Saccharomyces cerevisiae S288C: one gene and its partner. The gene in region 2 interacts genetically with the main gene of each other region. Each region holds a gene or a part of one and is shown on either strand. Other genes may lie near its edges.

The links.
Region 1: mutations in HUB1 (region 2) and CUP1-1 impair growth when combined (synthetic growth defect), as found in Saccharomyces cerevisiae (one study listed by BioGRID).

The regions. Positions count from the first base shown.
Region 1 is NC_001140.6:201,161-218,214, forward strand, and holds CUP1-1 (metallothionein CUP1-1), read right to left. Parts: upstream 11,561-17,054; coding exon 11,375-11,560; downstream 1-11,374. Other genes in the region: AAP1 (arginine/alanine aminopeptidase), read right to left, coding at 1-150; YHK8 (Yhk8p), read left to right, coding at 3,447-4,991; FSH1 (putative serine hydrolase), read left to right, coding at 5,302-6,033; divalent metal ion transporter SMF2, read left to right, coding at 6,494-8,143; YHR050W-A (uncharacterized protein), read left to right, coding at 8,315-8,485; COX6 (cytochrome c oxidase subunit VI), read left to right, coding at 8,545-8,991; CIC1 (Cic1p), read left to right, coding at 9,688-10,818; YHR052C-B (uncharacterized protein), read right to left, coding at 11,359-11,532; YHR054C (uncharacterized protein), read right to left, coding at 12,025-13,089; YHR054C-B (uncharacterized protein), read right to left, coding at 13,357-13,530; and 2 more. UniProt on the Saccharomyces cerevisiae protein: Protects the cell against copper toxicity by tightly chelating copper ions. May also act as a depository for copper designated for the effective transfer into the apo forms of copper proteins.
Region 2 is NC_001146.8:686,743-691,839, forward strand, and holds HUB1 (ubiquitin-like protein HUB1), read right to left. Parts: upstream 723-5,097; coding exon 501-722; downstream 1-500. Other genes in the region: putative serine/threonine-protein kinase PPG1, read left to right, coding at 1-374; ABZ1 (4-amino-4-deoxychorismate synthase), read left to right, coding at 893-3,256; SOL1 (Sol1p), read left to right, coding at 3,579-4,544. UniProt on the Saccharomyces cerevisiae protein: Forms conjugate with SPH1 and HBT1. Involved in morphogenesis.

The DNA of each region.
Region 1 (17,054 bases), on a different chromosome or scaffold from region 2:
GTAATTTATTTGCACAGAGTTTATCGAATGATCATTAATCTGCAGGTCAATTTTTAATGACCCTTCAAACGTAAAAGCACGGAAATTAGGTTCTAGTGTAATGTCATAATGCAATGGGGTAACGTTGTTTGGCAGTACTTCACGGGACATGGTATTAGCTGAGAGGGCAATTTGGCTTGCTTGAACAGGAACCCTCAAAGAAAAATCACGAATTGAATAAGCTTCCCTGAAGATAATTCTAAATGATTAGCTAAGATTACTCATAAAGTCAAAAGTTTGATCGCTAACAAAAGGGAAAAAAACGGAAAAAAAATAAAAAAATGTGTCAAACTCCCACAGCCAAGTCCAAGAGTACGAAAAAAAACTTTCACAACGAGTTCAAAAAATGTGGGATGAAGACTCCCGTTTTTCACCGCCTAGAAAACAGCGTTTGCTGAGAAAAAAAATAAATCATCGAGAAGAAGTATGTCATCATAGGATGTTCCCATTGTAAGGTGATGTGTAACATACTCGAACAAAGAATGTATAGAGCTGAATATTTCTCCTTTAAATTTCAAAGAAAATGAGAAGGAAAATCTCAAACAGAAACTTCGTTCTTTTTCTCAAGTAAGCAAAAGCTTATTGAGACAAAGCGGAATAACTACGATATTAATAACGTTGATGAAGCTCGAACAAAGTTAGCGTCGGTTATGCTTGCCTATATAAAGATATATTTGCCTTACATTTTCGTTGAACGTAGAATGATTTTTGCTTTTAATAAATTTTTTGTTGTTCTTTCAGTGCTTCTTCAACTTTGATACGAAAGCAAGTGCATTAGTACAACAAGAACTGGCCACAACTATACTATACTCATTTTTTCTTGCCCGTGTTTTAAATGTTTTCATCCACAGCATTTGATGGGATGATTGGAAGTGAGACGTTCGAGAAAATCCATATTTTGAGTCAAGAATTCAGATAATATACTGAGATGATTAGGTATGGCTGGGTTCTACAAAAACACAAATATCCGGCTAGCAATGATCACTGAGCAAATTAAAGCGTTAACTCACTCATTATTGTAGCTTATGCGTTTCTCCTCCTCTCTTTTTTTCCTCGAACCGGAGTGGAAGATCCAATAACGTAATATTACTGATGTTGTTATTAAAGCTGGCAAAAATAACATGAGGCGTAAAACCGCACTGCGGTAAGATGAGGGTATAAGGTGGAGATCAGGCGAACAAGCTGTTCTAAATCATACATATGTACAATGAGAACGTGTAACGATCCAATGAGCGTTTCATGATGCCATTGTTTAATCAGAGTGATGAAAAAGAAATATTTGCGACCTTTTTTCGTTACATTGATCGTGAAATTTTAATCAAAGATAATATAAGGACGTGAGATATTTATCTTTTTACTTGAAATTAACAATAGAATTGCGCTAAGCGGAATAAGAGCTTTCGTAAACCTTTCTATTTGCACCATTGCGTCAACGTATAAAATGGTATGACCTTTACACAAACGCATGCTTATAATCTTATGTTTTTCATAGGGTGTAATTTGGTTGATGACGTAGTCTAAATTTGATGCTATCTGCAATTGAGGTACATATAAGAGGTCAATTTCGGGACCAACCCTTTTAATCGAAAAAAACGTAATTCACTAGGGCAAGGGAGAACTTAGCAGCTAATATCGTAAACCTTTCATACTAAAAAAATGCACTTACCATCAACAAAAAACTCAGGACCAATTTCCAAGCTTTTCTAGGTGATTGCCTATAACACAAAAAGATTCGCTCATACATGAGATTTTTACATGTAATAGCAATTTGTTCCGATCAGTTGAAGGTCATCAACGCACGGCAGGTACATCCACACCTATCACAAAGCCCTTCAATAATTCACCTACGTAAAGTTATACCGAAACATGCAAAATCCATGAAAAATTCTGTATGATAACGATCATATCCTTTTGTATTGGTGGTACGATGCTCAAAGATAGTTATTGTTGCACCTGAGGCAAAAGCGGAAATGAAAAATCCAGATGGGGCCAAAAGCAGAAGTATTGTGTACAACAATTGCTTCAGCAGTTTACCAAACCGTTTCCCAGCAATCATCAAAAGTTGCTTTAGCCACATTTCCGCAAGATATCTTTGTGGCTCAACGAAGAGGGCTATTCCAAATGCAATACAATACTAGCCGCTAGTGATCCATGCTTATAGGCAATTTGATTGATAACTGGCCGTTCTATTAAGGAGTCAATGCTAACCACATATAATGCATATAGGATTTGGCCTCTGCTGACCGTAATACTAGACAAGGAATATAAAACAACAACGTAACCCAGCATAAAAACGATATAAATAAAAAAAGAAACCAGATCATAAAGTTTGAGGGCACATCCCTCATGGTTTCAAAATCTCGTACATTGACTCAAACCTCGAGATCTTGTTTAAACGAACATAAGAACAGCGGTACCAAGTGACACATTGCGTACTGTGTAGTATGCGCCGTATATAACTTTTTTTTTCTGAAGGTACTTTGAATTACAATCTATTTTTTACAGTTCCTATGGCAGGGGTTGAAGATATTTGGGTCTGAACCATAGCAGGATTAGTGTTATAGTAGGTATGTGAATAGAAGCTAACAAAATGAGATGAACCTCATACAAAGTCGTAGAGAAAACTGCTAACAGAAGAGCTGCGCCTTGAAATCGTATCTCTAAGCTTATAATAAATTGAAAGGAAAAAATACGTGGTAAATGCAAGCGACCAAAAGGCTACGGCCCAACGCTAACCCGCCGATAGGTGCATAATCTAATTTACCTCCACCAGCAGGAGCCCTTTTTCTAAGTAATAAGCAAACCAGATAACTTACATCTTGCTGTAGGAAACAAAAGCCGGAATAATGGTTCACTCATATTCTTCGTGTGAAACACAGAAGAAATCCAATATTTGCTTCAGTATTTATCTCTAAAAATTGGTCCTACATTGGAAACCATAAACCAATTATAACCGGTGTACGAATTGTAAGCTAGTTCTGGAAATGTCATGTTGCGCAGGTAAAAGTGGAGCTGAATTGTATATCTGTTTTGATCATTATTATCCCTCTGGGTGAGTGGAAATATCAATAAAATGCAATGGCACATTTAATATCCTTCTCTTAATTCCGTGATTTATAACATCTTGATGCCAGAAACACCTTTCGGATCCGGCAATAAAGCGGAGATTAGCACGCTTTTCGCCGGTCCTACGGATTTAGTGTTGGCTATTGTTGAGATTAGTAATACGCAGAGAATTTTTCTACCGGTGAAGCGACCATCTCAGATTATTAGGTCAAGCAATAACACTTGTTATTAGATGCGTTACGTTCACCTGGACCCTATATAAAGGCATATTTGCCTTACATTTGGTGTATGGTATCACCTTGTATACTAAGAACATATATATGCAGATATAACAACAGGATATGGTTGCAGAATTTCAAATAGCGAGTGCACAGTCATCGGCATTGACATCTACTGAAGAAGAGCATTGTTCAATAAACTCAGACAAAGCCGCAAAACTGGATCTGGAATTGACCAGTGAACGAAAAAATGACGGCAAACAATCGCATGAAGTGACCTTCAACGAGGACATCGCGGACCCAGAAGATATAGCACGGCATATGAGCACCGCCCGCCGGTATTATATTTCCTCGTTAATTACATTCACATCGATGGTAATTACGATGATCTCGTCCAGCTGGACGCTTCCTTCAACGCACATAATCGAACACTTTCATATTTCGCACGAAGTCAGCACTCTGGGAATTACGCTTTATGTGTTTGGGCTCGGTATAGGACCTTTATTTCTGTCTCCACTAAGTGAACTATATGGACGAAGGATCACATTTTTATACGCCCTTACGCTCAGTATCATATGGCAGTGTTTGACCATTTGGTCCAAGACCATTACGGGTGTCATGTTTGGCAGATTTCTATCCGGGTTTTTTGGTTCAGCCTTTCTAAGTGTGGCTGGCGGCGCCATTGCCGATATATTCGACAAAGACCAAATTGGTATTCCTATGGCAATATACACTACATCGGCCTTTTTGGGGCCCTCTTTAGGACCAATCATTGGTGGAGCCTTATACCATCAAAGTTATAAATGGACATTTATCACACTTCTCATCACTTCTGGATGTTGTCTCGTTATGATCATCTTTACCATACCTGAAACCTACAAACCAATGCTGTTAATACGTAAAGCTAAGAGATTGAGGAAAGAGAAAAATGATCAACGGTATTATGCTGTCCTGGAAGTCACCCGCGAACAGACTTCCTTACTTTCCGCAATCTTTCTCTCAACCAAAAGACCCTTTGGCCTGTTACTTCGAGACCGAATGATGGGTGTGCTTTGCTTCTATACTGGATTGGAACTTGCCATAATATATTTATATTTCGTAGCGTTTCCTTATGTGTTCAAGAAACTTTACAACTTTGGGCCCATGGAGATTGCATGCTCCTATATCGGTATTATGGTCGGCATGATACTCTCGGCTCCTACTTGCTTGTTATTCCAAAAAACGTTTGAGTGGAGAGTCAAAAGAAATAATGGCGTCAAGACTCCCGAAATGAGATTCGAGCCTCTGTTCTACGGCGCCTTTTTGACCCCAGTTGGGCTCTTCATTTTTGCATTCACCTGCTACAAGCATGTCCATTGGATTGCACCAATTATAGGCAGTGCAATTTTCGGTTCAGGTGTTTATTTCGTCTTTACCGGTGTTTTTGCGTATACAGTGGATGCCTATAGAAGATATGCAGCTTCTGGAATGGCTTGTAACACATTTGTGAGATGCATAATGGCCGGTGTCTTCCCTCTTTTCGGACTCCAGATGTACAAGTCAATGGGAGTGAATTGGGCCGGCTTTCTCTTGGCAATGGTGACCGTAGCGATGATTCCTGTCCCATTTCTGTTTACCAAATACGGTGCCCGACTGAGAGCCAAGTCGCCGTATGCATGGGATGATTGATTTTTTTGCATATTTTTTCCTTTGGATGTTGCATAATCTTTTCCCGCTTACGTCATTGGTGATAGATTGTTTCGGATCTTCAAAAGGCAACACGCATAGGCCAAAGAAAAAAGAAATTTTGCATTTTTTCATTTTTGCATATTCTCGCATGTTTTCTTTCTTTTTCTCTAGTTTTCGAATGTTTTTGGCTGCAATGTATATTGTATATAAACCATAAAGGTGCAAAATGCCAGATGTACGCGGCCAATCTTAATTTTCTAGTAAAAGTAGCAGCTAAATCTGAAACTCTCTAGCTTGTAATAAACGAAGGATGACTGTACAAATTCCAAAATTATTATTTTTACACGGCTTCTTGCAAAACGGTAAAGTTTTCTCCGAAAAATCATCTGGTATTAGAAAATTATTGAAGAAGGCTAATGTCCAATGTGACTATATTGATGCACCAGTCCTTTTAGAAAAGAAGGACTTGCCATTTGAAATGGATGATGAAAAATGGCAAGCCACCCTAGATGCGGATGTTAACAGAGCCTGGTTCTATCACAGCGAAATCTCTCACGAATTGGATATCTCAGAAGGTTTGAAGTCTGTTGTTGATCACATCAAGGCCAATGGCCCATACGACGGCATTGTCGGTTTCTCTCAAGGTGCCGCATTGTCCTCTATCATCACCAACAAGATCTCAGAGTTAGTTCCAGACCATCCACAATTCAAGGTAAGTGTAGTCATTTCCGGCTATTCCTTCACCGAGCCAGACCCAGAACATCCTGGAGAATTGAGAATAACCGAAAAATTCAGAGACTCATTTGCGGTAAAACCAGACATGAAGACCAAGATGATCTTCATCTATGGTGCTTCTGACCAAGCCGTCCCATCCGTCAGATCCAAGTACCTGTACGATATTTATTTGAAGGCGCAAAATGGTAATAAGGAAAAGGTGTTGGCTTACGAACACCCTGGTGGACATATGGTTCCAAACAAGAAGGACATTATCAGACCAATTGTTGAACAAATAACCTCTTCCTTACAAGAAGCTTCTGAATAAATCGTAGGTTGTTGCTTACCTGCTTTCTAGCTTTTTACTATCACACGCAGGGTGTGTGGAGTGAAATGCTGATCGAGTATGTATATATACATATAAGTACTTTGTATAGAATGAACCACAAGTTTGTAGCATCCTTTCTCTTCTCTTCCATCCTGCGTGCTGCTAACCCCGCCCGGCGCGAAAAATCCACCCGGGGTGCTTTAGCGTGGCTTACGAAGACCTTTTTAAACATACTTATACTCTTTCTCGAAGGAAGAAAATAATGCAGAAGAGAAACAGCAGAAAAAAAAGAAATCATATTAAATTTCAGAATCAGTCTCCTTTTGCTTCTAGTCATTTAACCATCAAACGCGTTTAACCGTTTAGAAAACCCTCTTCAACAACTATTTGTTTTGATACTAATATTAGCACATCTCTATTGCCATTTAACCACTAATTTTCCGTATAGCGTTTATGTTTGATGACGTCCCAAGAATATGAACCTATTCAATGGAGCGATGAATCCCAAACAAATAATGATAGTGTCAACGATGCGTATGCCGACGTGAATACCACTCATGAGTCGCGTCGAAGAACAACTTTGCAGCCAAACTCAACATCCCAGAGCATGATCGGAACATTGAGAAAATATGCTAGGTTCATCGGTCCTGGTTTGATGGTATCTGTATCGTACATGGATCCTGGTAACTATAGTACAGCTGTAGCAGCGGGTTCTGCTCATCGGTACAAGCTTTTATTTTCTGTCTTAGTTTCTAATTTCATGGCTGCTTTTTGGCAGTACCTCTGCGCCAGATTGGGTGCTGTCACTGGCCTAGATCTGGCACAAAATTGTAAGAAACATTTGCCCTTTGGACTTAACATTACTCTTTATATTCTGGCGGAGATGGCAATTATTGCCACAGATCTGGCAGAAGTGGTAGGAACCGCTATTTCTTTGAATATCCTTTTCCATATACCTCTCGCCCTAGGTGTGATACTTACTGTGGTAGACGTTTTAATTGTTCTGCTAGCTTACAAACCTAACGGTTCCATGAAGGGTATCAGAATATTTGAAGCTTTTGTTTCTTTATTGGTGGTTCTTACCGTAGTTTGCTTTACTGTTGAACTGTTTTATGCCAAACTGGGACCTGCCAAAGAAATATTTTCTGGGTTCTTACCCAGTAAAGCCGTTTTTGAAGGTGATGGGTTATACTTAAGTCTGGCAATTCTGGGCGCCACGGTAATGCCTCATTCATTATATTTGGGGTCAGGTGTGGTTCAACCAAGATTAAGAGAGTATGATATCAAAAACGGACATTACTTGCCAGACGCGAATGATATGGATAACAATCACGATAATTACAGGCCATCCTATGAGGCCATCAGTGAAACTCTGCACTTTACTATAACGGAATTACTGATCTCGCTGTTCACGGTGGCATTATTTGTCAATTGTGCCATTCTTATCGTGTCTGGCGCTACACTATACGGGTCCACTCAAAATGCTGAGGAAGCTGACTTATTTTCTATTTACAACTTACTCTGTAGTACTCTTTCCAAGGGAGCGGGAACGGTATTCGTGCTGGCATTGTTGTTTTCAGGACAGAGTGCCGGTATCGTGTGTACGTTGAGTGGACAAATGGTTAGTGAAGGGTTCTTAAATTGGACTGTTTCTCCGGCATTGAGAAGATCCGCCACAAGAGCGGTAGCCATCACGCCTTGTTTGATTTTAGTGCTTGTAGCTGGACGTAGCGGCCTCTCTGGTGCACTAAATGCTTCCCAAGTGGTACTTTCTCTCTTGCTGCCTTTTGTTTCTGCACCTTTACTTTACTTCACTTCAAGCAAGAAGATTATGCGTGTACAGCTTAACCGTACCAAAGAACTTTCAAGAACTACAGACAAAAAACCCGTGGCCGACCGAACCGAAGATGATGAGACCATTGAGCTCGAAGAAATGGGCATAGGCAGCAGCTCACAGGAGCGCAGCTTAGTTTCTCCTGCTCCAGAATACAAAGACATGAGCAATGGAATGATCGTCACCGTGCTCGCAATCATAGTATGGTTGATTATCTCCGGACTGAACTTTTATATGTTACTGGGCTTTACTACGGGCAAAGAAGTACACCTCTAATATAACAATTCTTTAGACTAGTATAAGTATACATTTTATCCAAGAATAATAACAGAAAATTCCAATCAAAAAGTTGGTGTTAGGCTATACTGATGGCCGTATCGCTCCATACGAGCCAATCAGGGCCCCGCGCGTTATTTCCGCCGCTTACAGCTTTCTTTGAATCTCCCTATGAAAAGGGACCTAATTGGTCCGGTCAAAGCATTAATAAAGATCAACAATTGCTCTTGCTTATCAAGGTGCCAGATCTCAAGGTTACCTCATTTCTTTACATTTCATCCACATTTTAGCACACTTATTTATTATTACAATTTGAAAAATTGTATCACTTCTGAGACTTAGTAGCGGAGATAAACAGCCGAACAATTGTATTTGACACATAAACTAATAAATATACAACAATGTTATCAAGGGCCATATTCAGAAATCCAGTTATAAATAGAACTTTATTGAGAGCCAGACCTGGTGCTTATCATGCAACTAGATTGACTAAAAATACGTTTATTCAAAGTAGGAAGTATTCTGACGCACATGATGAAGAAACCTTTGAGGAATTCACCGCAAGATACGAAAAGGAGTTTGATGAAGCCTATGATTTGTTTGAAGTGCAAAGAGTGCTCAACAACTGTTTTTCCTATGATTTAGTTCCTGCTCCTGCTGTTATTGAAAAAGCTTTGAGGGCTGCCAGAAGAGTCAATGACTTACCTACCGCAATTAGAGTATTTGAGGCTTTGAAATACAAGGTGGAGAATGAAGACCAATACAAGGCCTACTTGGATGAATTGAAGGATGTCAGACAAGAATTGGGCGTTCCCTTAAAGGAAGAGCTATTTCCAAGCTCTTCTTAATAATAAGGAAAAAGCTACCACACAACGTCTGTAATTTGTTGTCCTTTTTTTATTTGTGGAAAATTCCTCAATTTGAAATAAGATTCGTATTTATTTTGTAAAACGATTTTAGTTTTTATTTTTTTTTTTTCTTCCCTTTTACCTTATTATTTGTTTTACCCTTTATGGATATTCATCCACTCAGAAACTAATATATCAAAATCAACGATAAGATCACAAGAGGTGAAATAAGAAAAGTAAAAGAAAAATATTTAAATTTAACCATTATGATTTCCACTTTGTTTTCTCTACTCTATTACTTGAACAAACTTTATTTTTGGTAATGAGGGCTGGTCACAGATTACCTTTAATATCCTTTGTTAGTAGCTTTTTTGTGTTCTATTTCAGGAAAGAAGAATGGGAAAAATAATAAAACAATAAATAACTATATAAAAAACAAAAACCTAGAATATACCATTAAAGAATTACTATTCTATTCTGTGCTTCACCGTTGCGTCAATAAATGTGAAGTTGATGTCACTTCATACTAAAAAAATTAAAGACAATTTCCTGAAAAAAATTTTTCCACTGGAGCTCATCGCAAATTTTGAAAAGTAACAAAAAGCGTTTGTATACTGCATAAAGAATAGTGTCTGTTTTATAAGAAATATTAGACAGCAGGCAGATAAACCTACGTTCCAGACTATAAAGTATAAAATGGCTAAAAAGAGTAACTCAAAGAAATCTACGCCTGTAAGTACACCAAGCAAAGAAAAGAAGAAGGTTATTGAAAAGAAATCTTCCACAGCCATTCCTAGGGAAAGAGTTATTAAAGCTGTCAACGAGCTTATAAAATTCACTTCCAAGCCACAAGATGAAAATAATGAAGAAGGAAATAACGGTAAGAAAAACCTATTGGAAGATGATGAAGAAGAATTGAAGAAAGATCTGCAATTAATCGTAGTAAATAATAAATCATTCACCGGTACTTCCAAATCATTCAAATTGAAATTACTAAATGTCAAACATTCGTTTTACAAGCCTTGGAAAGAAGCCAGTGCAACAGCGGTTAAGGATTTCAAAGTTTTATTAATTTTGAAGGATTCTGATATTAAGAAAGTTTCAGAAGATGATTTATTTGATCAATTAGATTCAGAAGGAATCAAGGTTGATGAAATCATTTGCGGGAAAGACTTAAAGACCGTTTACAAGGCATATGAGGCTAGAAACGCTTTTATATCTCAGTTTTCTTTGATTTTGGCTGACGACAGTATAGTTACATCTTTGCCAAAACTTATGGGAGGCAAAGCCTACAACAAAGTAGAAACTACTCCTATATCAATTAGAACACATGCAAATAAGGAATTTTCCTTGACCACTTTGACGAACAATATCAAAAAGGTTTACATGAATCAGTTGCCCGTTAAACTTCCAAGAGGTACCACGTTGAATGTCCATTTGGGTAATTTAGAATGGTTAAGGCCAGAAGAGTTTGTAGATAACGTTGAATTAATTTCTGAACAGTTAATCAAAGCATACCAAATCAGATCCATTTTTATCAAGACCAATAGGTCGCCCGTATTGCCATTATACTATAACCAGGACGTTCTTGATGAACTTGAAGCTAAAAAGGACAAAATCGAAGAAACCCACGAAGATGACATGGTCACCATTGATGGTGTACAAGTTCATTTGTCTACCTTCAACAAGGGTTTGATGGAAATCGCCAATCCTTCCGAATTGGGTTCAATTTTCTCTAAACAAATTAACAATGCAAAAAAGAGATCTTCTAGCGAGCTTGAAAAAGAATCTAGCGAGTCAGAAGCTGTCAAGAAGGCTAAAAGTTAATTTGTTTCCTCCTTATCTATCTTTTCTCTCATTTTTTTCTTGTGAAGAAAAAAATTTGAATTTCATAGAGTGCGGTGCATATGTATATATCTATATATGTTTGAAGTGTATATTAAAAATAAAGTCATTATTTGAATATTGGTTTCTCGGTCTAAGAGCTTATACGTTTTAGACTGATCTGTTGTACTATCCGCTTCAAATAAATAGATCATTGAAAGTGACGGGGATAACAGCATTTTACCTTTAAAAGACGTTCTCATAATACATTTTAGGATTAATACATATGCTTTTTTTTTATTCGAAATCTGGGGATTCTATACAGAGTTGTAAGTTAGGCAAACTAGAATTTGGTAATAATATTTTATTCTTGGGGCGACATATGGAGATACTTTATTTCCTTTTCTTAATTATTAACGTATACCTATAAATTAACAAAGTATCTAAACAAAATACATAAGTGTACTCAAACTGAGTAGAATCGTCGATTAAACTTCCTTCTCCTTTTAAAAATTAAAAACAGCAAATAGTTAGATGAATATATTAAAGACTATTCGTTTCATTTCCCAGAGCAGCATGACTTCTTGGTTTCTTCAGACTTGTTACCGCAGGGGCATTTGTCGTCGCTGTTACACCCCGTTGGGCAGCTACATGATTTTTGGCATTGTTCATTATTTTTGCAGCTACCACATTGGCATTGGCACTCATGACCTTCATTTTGGAAGTTAATTAATTCGCTGAACATTTTATGTGATGATTGATTGATTGATTGTACAGTTTGTTTTTCTTAATATCTATTTCGATGACTTCTATATGATATTGCACTAACAAGAAGATATTATAATGCAATTGATACAAGACAAGGAGTTATTTGCTTCTCTTTTATATGATTCTGACAATCCATATTGCGTTGGTAGTCTTTTTTGCTGGAACGGTTCAGCGGAAAAGACGCATCGCTCTTTTTGCTTCTAGAAGAAATGCCAGCAAAAGAATCTCTTGACAGTGACTGACAGCAAAAATGTCTTTTTCTAACTAGTAACAAGGCTAAGATATCAGCCTGAAATAAAGGGTGGTGAAGTAATAATTAAATCATCCGTATAAACCTATACACATATATGAGGAAAAATAATACAAAAGTGTTTTAAATACAGATACATACATGAACATATGCACGTATAGCGCCCAAATGTCGGTAATGGGATCGGCTTACTAATTATAAAATGCATCATAGAAATCGTTGAAGTTTGCCGTAGTAATACCCAGATTATCAGATTCCAAATCCTTGTCAATAATTATACTCCTTTGGACAACTTCTCTTTCCATTAAAAAATCTGAAATCTCCTTAAATTTTAAATAGATTCTGTTCAGTTCACTAACGGGGAATTTCAAGAGAACATTTTTGTTCTTCGCCGACTGACTATAATCTGTAACATTATTGTTATCAGAGTTTCTCGCAAAATTTTGTTTTTTCTTGCTAAATCTCAGCATATATTTAATCAGATTCAAAACCTTGTTGAAACCTTTAATAGATTTGAAACTTCCGTTGCTATTCATTTCATCTCGTAAAAAGGATACGATAATTTCTATTTTTTTTAAAATTTCCAAAATCTTGTCATGAATCAATAGCAATTGAACATTAATCTCCTCATTTGAAAGATTTTTGTAAAATTCGTCATATAATATTACTTCACAACGTTGGAAAATAGCAAATGTGATTGCTATAAAATTCTGTAAGATTTCAATAAAATGATTTGCGAATAAAAATTCTTTACCATTAGAATGAAAGCGATTATTGCCGCTTGAAAATGACTTTATCGACTTTATGGGGAAGATAAAATTAAATGTTATTGAGTAAAAAATGTGCATATTAGAAATAATTTTCATCAGATCCTTTGCACATCTTTCAGAGTTCGAGGTCTTATTGTTGTTAGAAGAATGTTGAACTGCCATGGACAAAGAGGATTCGTTTTGAACAAAAAGGAAAAAATTTGTATAAACAATGGTATTGATAAAATTTAAAGTGTCTTTCCATTCTTTTCTGACTTCGTTGTCATGAAAATATAAGTCTACTGTATTACTCACGCCCATAGTCAAGGTTTCTAACAGACTTTCAATTTTGGTTAAATTTACTGGCAAGTAGAAAGGAACACCTTGCAGAATATTTATCAATTTTGCTTGCGTTTCCAGTAATTTTAAATCGTTAGCAATTAAAGGAATGTCGTTCGTATCAATAGAGGCAGGTATCGGAGATAGGTTTTCAGCAGCGGGTACCATGAATAGCTTTTTTTTTTTTTTTTATTCGAAATCTGGGGATTCTATACAGAGTTGTAAGTTAGGCAAACTAGAATTTGGTAATAATATTTTATTCTTGGGGCGACATATGGAGATACTTTATTTCCTTTTCTTAATTATTAACGTATACCTATAAATTAACAAAGTATCTAAACAAAATACATAAGTGTACTCAAACTGAGTAGAATCGTCGATTAAACTTCCTTCTCCTTTTAAAAATTAAAAACAGCAAATAGTTAGATGAATATATTAAAGACTATTCGTTTCATTTCCCAGAGCAGCATGACTTCTTGGTTTCTTCAGACTTGTTACCGCAGGGGCATTTGTCGTCGCTGTTACACCCCGTTGGGCAGCTACATGATTTTTGGCATTGTTCATTATTTTTGCAGCTACCACATTGGCATTGGCACTCATGACCTTCATTTTGGAAGTTAATTAATTCGCTGAACATTTTATGTGATGATTGATTGATTGATTGTACAGTTTGTTTTTCTTAATATCTATTTCGATGACTTCTATATGATATTGCACTAACAAGAAGATATTATAATGCAATTGATACAAGACAAGGAGTTATTTGCTTCTCTTTTATATGATTCTGACAATCCATATTGCGTTGGTAGTCTTTTTTGCTGGAACGGTTCAGCGGAAAAGACGCATCGCTCTTTTTGCTTCTAGAAGAAATGCCAGCAAAAGAATCTCTTGACAGTGACTGACAGCAAAAATGTCTTTTTCTAACTAGTAACAAGGCTAAGATATCAGCCTGAAATAAAGGGTGGTGAAGTAATAATTAAATCATCCGTATAAACCTATACACATATATGAGGAAAAATAATACAAAAGTGTTTTAAATACAGATACATACATGAACATATGCACGTATAGCGCCCAAATGTCGGTAATGGGATCGGCTTACTAATTATAAAATGCATCATAGAAATCGTTGAAGTTTGCCGTAGTAATACCCAGATTATCAGATTCCAAATCCTTGTCAATAATTATACTCCTTTGGACAACTTCTCTTTCCATTAAAAAATCTGAAATCTCCTTAAATTTTAAATAGATTCTGTTCAGTTCACTAACGGGGAATTTCAAGAGAACATTTTTGTTCTTCGCCGACTGACTATAATCTGTAACATTATTGTTATCAGAGTTTCTCGCAAAATTTTGTTTTTTCTTGCTAAATCTCAGCATATATTTAATCAGATTCAAAACCTTGTTGAAACCTTTAATAGATTTGAAACTTCCGTTGCTATTCATTTCATCTCGTAAAAAGGATACGATAATTTCTATTTTTTTTAAAATTTCCAAAATCTTGTCATGAATCAATAGCAATTGAACATTAATCTCCTCATTTGAAAGATTTTTGTAAAATTCGTCATATAATATTACTTCACAACGTTGGAAAATAGCAAATGTGATTGCTATAAAATTCTGTAAGATTTCAATAAAATGATTTGCGAATAAAAATTCTTTACCATTAGAATGAAAGCGATTATTGCCGCTTGAAAATGACTTTATCGACTTTATGGGGAAGATAAAATTAAATGTTATTGAGTAAAAAATGTGCATATTAGAAATAATTTTCATCAGATCCTTTGCACATCTTTCAGAGTTCGAGGTCTTATTGTTGTTAGAAGAATGTTGAACTGCCATGGACAAAGAGGATTCGTTTTGAACAAAAAGGAAAAAATTTGTATAAACAATGGTATTGATAAAATTTAAAGTGTCTTTCCATTCTTTTCTGACTTCGTTGTCATGAAAATATAAGTCTACTGTATTACTCACGCCCATAGTCAAGGTTTCTAACAGACTTTCAATTTTGGTTAAATTTACTGGCAAGTAGAAAGGAACACCTTGCAGAATATTTATCAATTTTGCTTGCGTTTCCAGTAATTTTAAATCGTTAGCAATTAAAGGAATGTCGTTCGTATCAATAGAGGCAGGTATCGGAGATAGGTTTTCAGCAGCGGGTACCATGAATGAAGACTGACCTAGAAGCGAATGTCTTGAGTAATACATTTTTTTCAAAAAATGGAATAACTTGAAATCTTTTATCTGGAAGCTTAACAGACAGCTCAAATCTTCGTCTAAACTTGATTTATGATCATCATGCATGTACAGAGATTCATAAAATTTTGTGATGGCAATAAATTTGATTGTCTCTTGGTCATAATATTCCAGGTTTATCAATGTGATTTGGCTTCGAATCAACCTCAAATTATTCATTAATGCCGAAACATGGTTATTAATAGCCTGCTTATTGAATAGGGTCATTGAATCGTTTAACAACAGTAGAAGCACAGTTAATTCGCCTAGTTTGGTCAGTTGAGATAAAGGAAGATCGACCGTTGAGAATGAAGGACAGGTATCACCATTTGGAAAAGAGTTATGAACAAATTCTAGTAAGAGGGTTTTGTCAAAGATTGGCAAAAATTCTTCAATATTCAGATTGTTAAGGGATTCAGAGTTTAGTGTCTCAATAATTATTGCTTTTGGTGGGAAGTTAACTTTGCAAACTTCCATATATTGTTGGTGATTTTTATTGTTAGGAGGACTTACTTTGAACTGATTAATATGGCAGATATCGTGCAAAATATTATAGAACTTGAAAAGATAATGATCTCTAAAAATGATGAAGTTTTTAGTGAAAAGGTAGTTGGGGGTATCCTTCAACGGTTTCACTTGGACTAAACTTTGCACATCTGTTATTGTGAGCGCTGTAAAGTATTTTTGTGAGGACTGAGAAGTCCTTGAAGTCTGATGATCAAATCCGGCTCTTTTACCGTCAACCTTGCCTTTCTTAGAATTCTCACCTGTTTTGTTAATTTTGTTTGCCGTGGTATTGTCGGCATTTAAATTCGATTTTTCTTTCAAACTTTTCAGTTGCAAGCTTTGTAAATCAAGCAATTTGTTTTTTAAAAAGTCTATCTCCTTGATTAATACTTCCTCTTGAGTAAACGGAGAAGTCATTAGATCGAAAACGGCCGAGTCTTGATTGATACCAACATTAAAAGAGTATGGGTTATCTGTATAGTCAAAACTTTGAGCGTTAACCAGTTGTAATCGTGTGTTATATTCTCTAATCTGATCCATGGAGGGCACATCTGGACTATCGCTTCTCACAATAGTGTTTCCATGAACATTACTACTAACGGTACTACTATTCTGACGAGGAGCAGTATTATTATTGGTGTTATTATTCTGGTAGCTAGCGGCCTTGGTCCACTGCATCGCAGTATCCACAGAGGGGTTGAACGAGAAGTTGAATGCCTCTATCGACGTTTGCATAATCGGATACTGCGTTTGAATCATTACGTTTTTCTGATTTACACCGTTTCCCTGACTAAAATGGTTGGAACCTTGGCCATTGCCGTGCGTGGACATCCCGGACGCAGAGGGCACAGCGACCATCTTACCAGGTCCATCTGGATAAAAACAGTCCGGCTTGTTATACTTGACGCAATTCCCACATATCGGTTTTGCCCTGTCGCACCCGATCTTTCTCTTCCTGCATTGGGTGCAAGCAGGCGGCTTCCTCACTTTTCTCACTTGCATGTCCATCATGATTAAAAACAAACGGCAAAGCTACGCACTAGTCACAGCAGACAACGACAATGCTCCTCTCATAAATTGCTAAGATACATTAAAAACAACAACTCTCTTCTTGTTCTTCCTCTCTTTGCATCATTCCTGCAAAATATCACACTACACGAGCTAGGATGTATAACCATCCTTAGTAGGACGCCAAGGTTATATTCAAAATGATATGATTTCCCCAATTAATACTTGCTGTTGCATTTTGAATCGGATGTAACTGGGACTAATGCTGCGCTAACCAGACGTACGTTCCGGTGGTCACAGTGCGGAACTGTTCCCACGTTCTCTAGTTAATTTACCTTTAACTATACATACTGAAATTGATATCTATGTATATAGTATGAAAT
Region 2 (5,097 bases):
GAGCCCATCAGTTATGTAACGAAGGTTACCAGATATATTTTGATGGATTGGTTACTACTGTATGGTCGGCGCCAAACTATTGTTATCGGTGCGGCAATAAAGCATCTATTCTGGAGCTGTATAGTAAAGATCAATTCTACTTCAACGTTTTCGAAGAGGCACCTGAAAATAAACTGTTGAAAGAGAACAGTATGAACGACAATGCCTTAGAAGATAGCATATCTAATCCGGTAGCCAACAGGAAATTGATTGCAGATTATTTCGAAGACGACTCTGCCTCCGCAGATGGCTCCACGGACCCTGAAATGTACATATTTTCAGATGTATACCAAGCCAGATCTGCTTCTAACAGACATGTTGATTACTTCTTGTAGCTTACTAAACAATAGAAAAGCATTATAGAGACAACGCCATCTTATTATTTCTACATATTCTATCTCTCTCGGTTGCAAATGTATGTATTGTGTATTTAGATCAAAAAAAAAAAAACAGCGCATTTTCTACAGGTAATACAGCTCCAAATTTGTCTGATCATGTACCTCATAATCTTCCAGAGAGATATGGTCTTTTAAAACACTTCCACCCTTCTGCAACACAATTTTGTTTGGTTGGGTGCCAATTTGCAAGGACAATACTTTTTTGAAATCACCTACACTATCTTCAGCAAGGCACTTCACTCTGACTTTTTTGCCTAATCGGTCATTCACAACTACCTCAATCATTTTCAGAGTATTTATTTGCAATCTAAGCTTTGCCACCGCTCCTCTTTCTCAATCTTTTCCTCTCCCTCCTCATCTCTCTCAGCCAAAACCGCGAATATATAAAAACAAGCAAGTCTCCCGTAGAACTTTTACACGATGACCTTTCGAGATTTCACAAGGGGGATAAAGGAATGCTGTCCGATACAATTGACACAAAGCAACAACAGCAACAGCTTCATGTCCTGTTCATAGACTCTTATGATTCATTCACCTACAATGTAGTGAGACTAATTGAACAACAAACTGATATCTCACCGGGAGTCAACGCCGTGCACGTGACGACGGTACATAGTGATACGTTCCAATCTATGGATCAGCTATTGCCACTTTTGCCGCTTTTTGATGCTATCGTTGTTGGCCCAGGACCTGGGAATCCCAACAATGGTGCACAAGATATGGGTATAATATCTGAGCTTTTCGAGAATGCCAATGGAAAGTTAGATGAAGTTCCAATATTGGGTATATGTCTTGGGTTCCAAGCAATGTGCTTGGCTCAAGGTGCTGATGTCAGTGAGCTAAATACTATCAAGCATGGGCAAGTGTATGAAATGCATTTAAACGATGCAGCCAGAGCTTGTGGCCTTTTTTCTGGTTATCCCGATACGTTCAAATCTACGAGGTACCATTCATTGCATGTCAATGCCGAAGGCATTGACACCCTTTTGCCCTTATGCACAACCGAAGATGAGAACGGTATTCTTTTGATGAGTGCTCAAACGAAAAATAAGCCATGGTTTGGCGTACAGTACCACCCGGAGTCATGTTGTTCAGAATTGGGGGGGCTGTTAGTCAGTAACTTTCTCAAGTTGAGTTTCATAAATAACGTGAAGACAGGAAGGTGGGAAAAGAAGAAACTTAATGGAGAGTTTTCCGATATCCTATCTCGATTGGATAGGACTATTGATAGAGACCCCATATACAAGGTAAAAGAGAAATATCCGAAGGGCGAGGACACAACTTACGTTAAGCAGTTCGAGGTCTCTGAAGACCCGAAATTGACATTTGAAATTTGCAACATCATACGAGAAGAAAAATTTGTCATGTCATCTTCTGTGATTAGTGAAAATACGGGTGAATGGTCTATCATTGCTTTACCAAACTCCGCATCCCAGGTATTCACTCATTATGGAGCTATGAAAAAGACTACAGTTCATTATTGGCAAGATAGTGAAATTAGTTACACCTTGTTGAAAAAGTGTCTAGATGGTCAAGATTCGGATTTGCCTGGCTCCCTTGAGGTAATACATGAAGATAAATCCCAATTTTGGATCACTTTGGGTAAATTTATGGAGAATAAAATAATCGATAACCACAGAGAAATACCTTTTATTGGAGGTCTTGTTGGCATTTTAGGTTATGAAATAGGTCAGTACATTGCATGCGGCCGTTGCAATGATGATGAGAATTCCCTTGTTCCCGACGCCAAACTAGTTTTTATCAACAATAGTATAGTCATTAATCACAAGCAAGGGAAGCTTTATTGTATTTCTCTGGATAATACATTTCCAGTGGCATTAGAACAATCATTAAGGGACAGTTTTGTTAGAAAGAAGAATATTAAGCAATCCCTGTCCTGGCCCAAGTATCTTCCAGAGGAGATAGACTTCATTATAACTATGCCCGATAAACTTGACTACGCTAAGGCGTTTAAGAAATGTCAGGATTATATGCATAAGGGTGATTCTTATGAAATGTGTCTCACAACGCAAACCAAAGTTGTACCATCTGCGGTGATAGAACCCTGGAGGATTTTCCAGACCTTGGTACAAAGAAACCCGGCTCCATTTTCAAGTTTTTTTGAGTTTAAAGACATTATTCCCCGCCAAGATGAAACGCCTCCAGTTTTGTGCTTCTTAAGTACTTCTCCAGAAAGGTTTTTGAAGTGGGATGCAGACACATGCGAGCTACGTCCCATCAAGGGAACTGTGAAAAAAGGACCGCAAATGAACTTGGCAAAAGCCACACGAATCCTGAAGACACCAAAAGAATTTGGTGAGAACTTAATGATTTTGGACTTAATCAGAAATGACCTTTACGAGTTGGTTCCTGACGTTCGGGTGGAGGAGTTCATGTCCGTGCAAGAATATGCCACCGTTTACCAACTCGTTAGCGTCGTAAAGGCACATGGATTGACCTCTGCCAGTAAGAAGACGAGATATTCAGGCATTGATGTCCTTAAACACTCGCTTCCTCCGGGATCTATGACGGGAGCCCCCAAGAAGATTACTGTGCAATTATTGCAGGACAAGATAGAAAGCAAGCTAAACAAACATGTCAATGGTGGAGCACGTGGTGTTTACAGCGGTGTCACGGGATATTGGTCTGTGAATTCCAACGGAGATTGGTCTGTTAACATTAGATGTATGTATTCCTACAACGGCGGAACCAGCTGGCAACTCGGTGCAGGGGGGGCCATAACAGTCTTAAGCACACTAGATGGCGAACTAGAGGAAATGTACAACAAGTTGGAGAGCAACTTACAAATTTTCATGTAGATATTTGTATATTATTAGATATGTATGCAAACATTTTCTTTAGAATAATATACTATTCTTGTACGATGCAGAATTTTTTTTTTTTTTCGCTTTAGGAAAATGACGTTTTGTGCCGTGGAAAACCCTGGAAAAGGATATTGGAAAAAAGTTAAAGCATGGTCATTTAGGGAAGACTTTCCTTCCAATTTACTTATCAATAGGTTATAATGTATGCTTGACGGAGCAGAATTCTTTCAAACCATAAGATAATAGATATTATAACATTTTAGTACATAAAAGAGGCCCGAGAAAATAGATTTTAACTGGAATAATTTTTTGCAAGATGACAACAACCGTACCTAAAGTGTTTGCATTCCATGAATTTGCAGGAGTAGCTGAGGCAGTTGCCGATCATGTTATTCACGCACAAAACTCTGCCCTTAAGAAGGGCAAAGTCTCAAGGTCCACACAGATGTCCGGAACGAGCCTTAACGGAAATGGTAACACAGAATCCAAAACGATGGAGAGAGTAAATTCTGTAAGGAGTAATGCCTCCAGCCGTGGTGGTAGTGAAGACGGCGCCACTAAGAAATTGAAAAAGGAGAAAGAAAGGCGCTTCAAGATTGCGTTGTCCGGTGGTTCGTTAATCCAAGTGTTGCACGAAGGATTGTTGAAAAGAGACGACGTTCAATGGGGTAAATGGGACATTTACTTTGCTGATGAAAGACTAGTGCCCTTTAGCTCCAGTGAAAGCAATTACGGTCTTGCTAAGAGAAAAATATTCGATTTAATAGATACGGAGAAGTACGGAACTCCGAAAATTTATCACATTGATGAGTCATTGATTAACGACCCTCAAGAGTGTGCAGATAACTATGAGAAAATTCTAATTAAAGGATTTGCCGGTAGAGATTCTGTGAAACTACCGATGTTTGATCTGTTTCTGCTTGGCTGCGCTCCTGACGGTCACATAGCCTCGTTATTCCCCAATTTTCAAGAGAATCTACGTGAAAATCTGGCATGGGTCATACCTGTAGAAAATGCACCCAGCGGACCTTCGAATAGGATTTCACTGACCATCCCAGTGATTTGTCACTCTCATAGAGTCACCTTTGTTGTAGAGGGCGCCACAAAGGCGCCTGTAATCAAGACAATAATGGAAAGGCCTGAAAAGGGATTGCCTAGTAGTATTGTCAATGAGGGCGCCGCCGGTCGTGTTTCATGGTTTGTAGACGACGATGCTTTGAAAGATGTCTTTGTAATTAAGAAGAAGTACAAGTTTTATGATGATGAGAATTTGACTGAGTAGGTGTTTAATTTTTTGGGTTCTTTTTCTTTCTGATGATAATGACAACTAATGACAATACTATGATTTAACCTTAACCATTTTCTTTTTTTAGCTCTTTCTATCCCCACCCTTCCCTTTAGTAATCGCAATAAATCACCCTATGTTTTTGAATTTTCTCGAGAAGTAACTTTATATAAAACAAGTCATCTTAGTGACGTAGTGTGCATATATAACATACAACATATATAATATATACAATAACCCTTTAGAAAAAAATAATAACAACCACAGTGGATATTTCCCTTTTGGACCTATGGCTTCCGCTAAGAGAAAAGCATGCTTTTAAGTTTTCTTTTCTTTCAAGGAGATTATTTGGTCTTAAGCGAAGTGAGAGATTGAAACAAAATGTTAATTACAGAGTTTACGAAGAATCAGTTTGCAAGACCACCTTATTCGTATGGCATTATCAAGCTTTGTGTGTAGACTATCCACACAAACATGATTCAACATACATAGCAGTGGTAGGTATACAACGGATATAAAAACCTTAACTCTACGTGTAGAAAATGTAAAA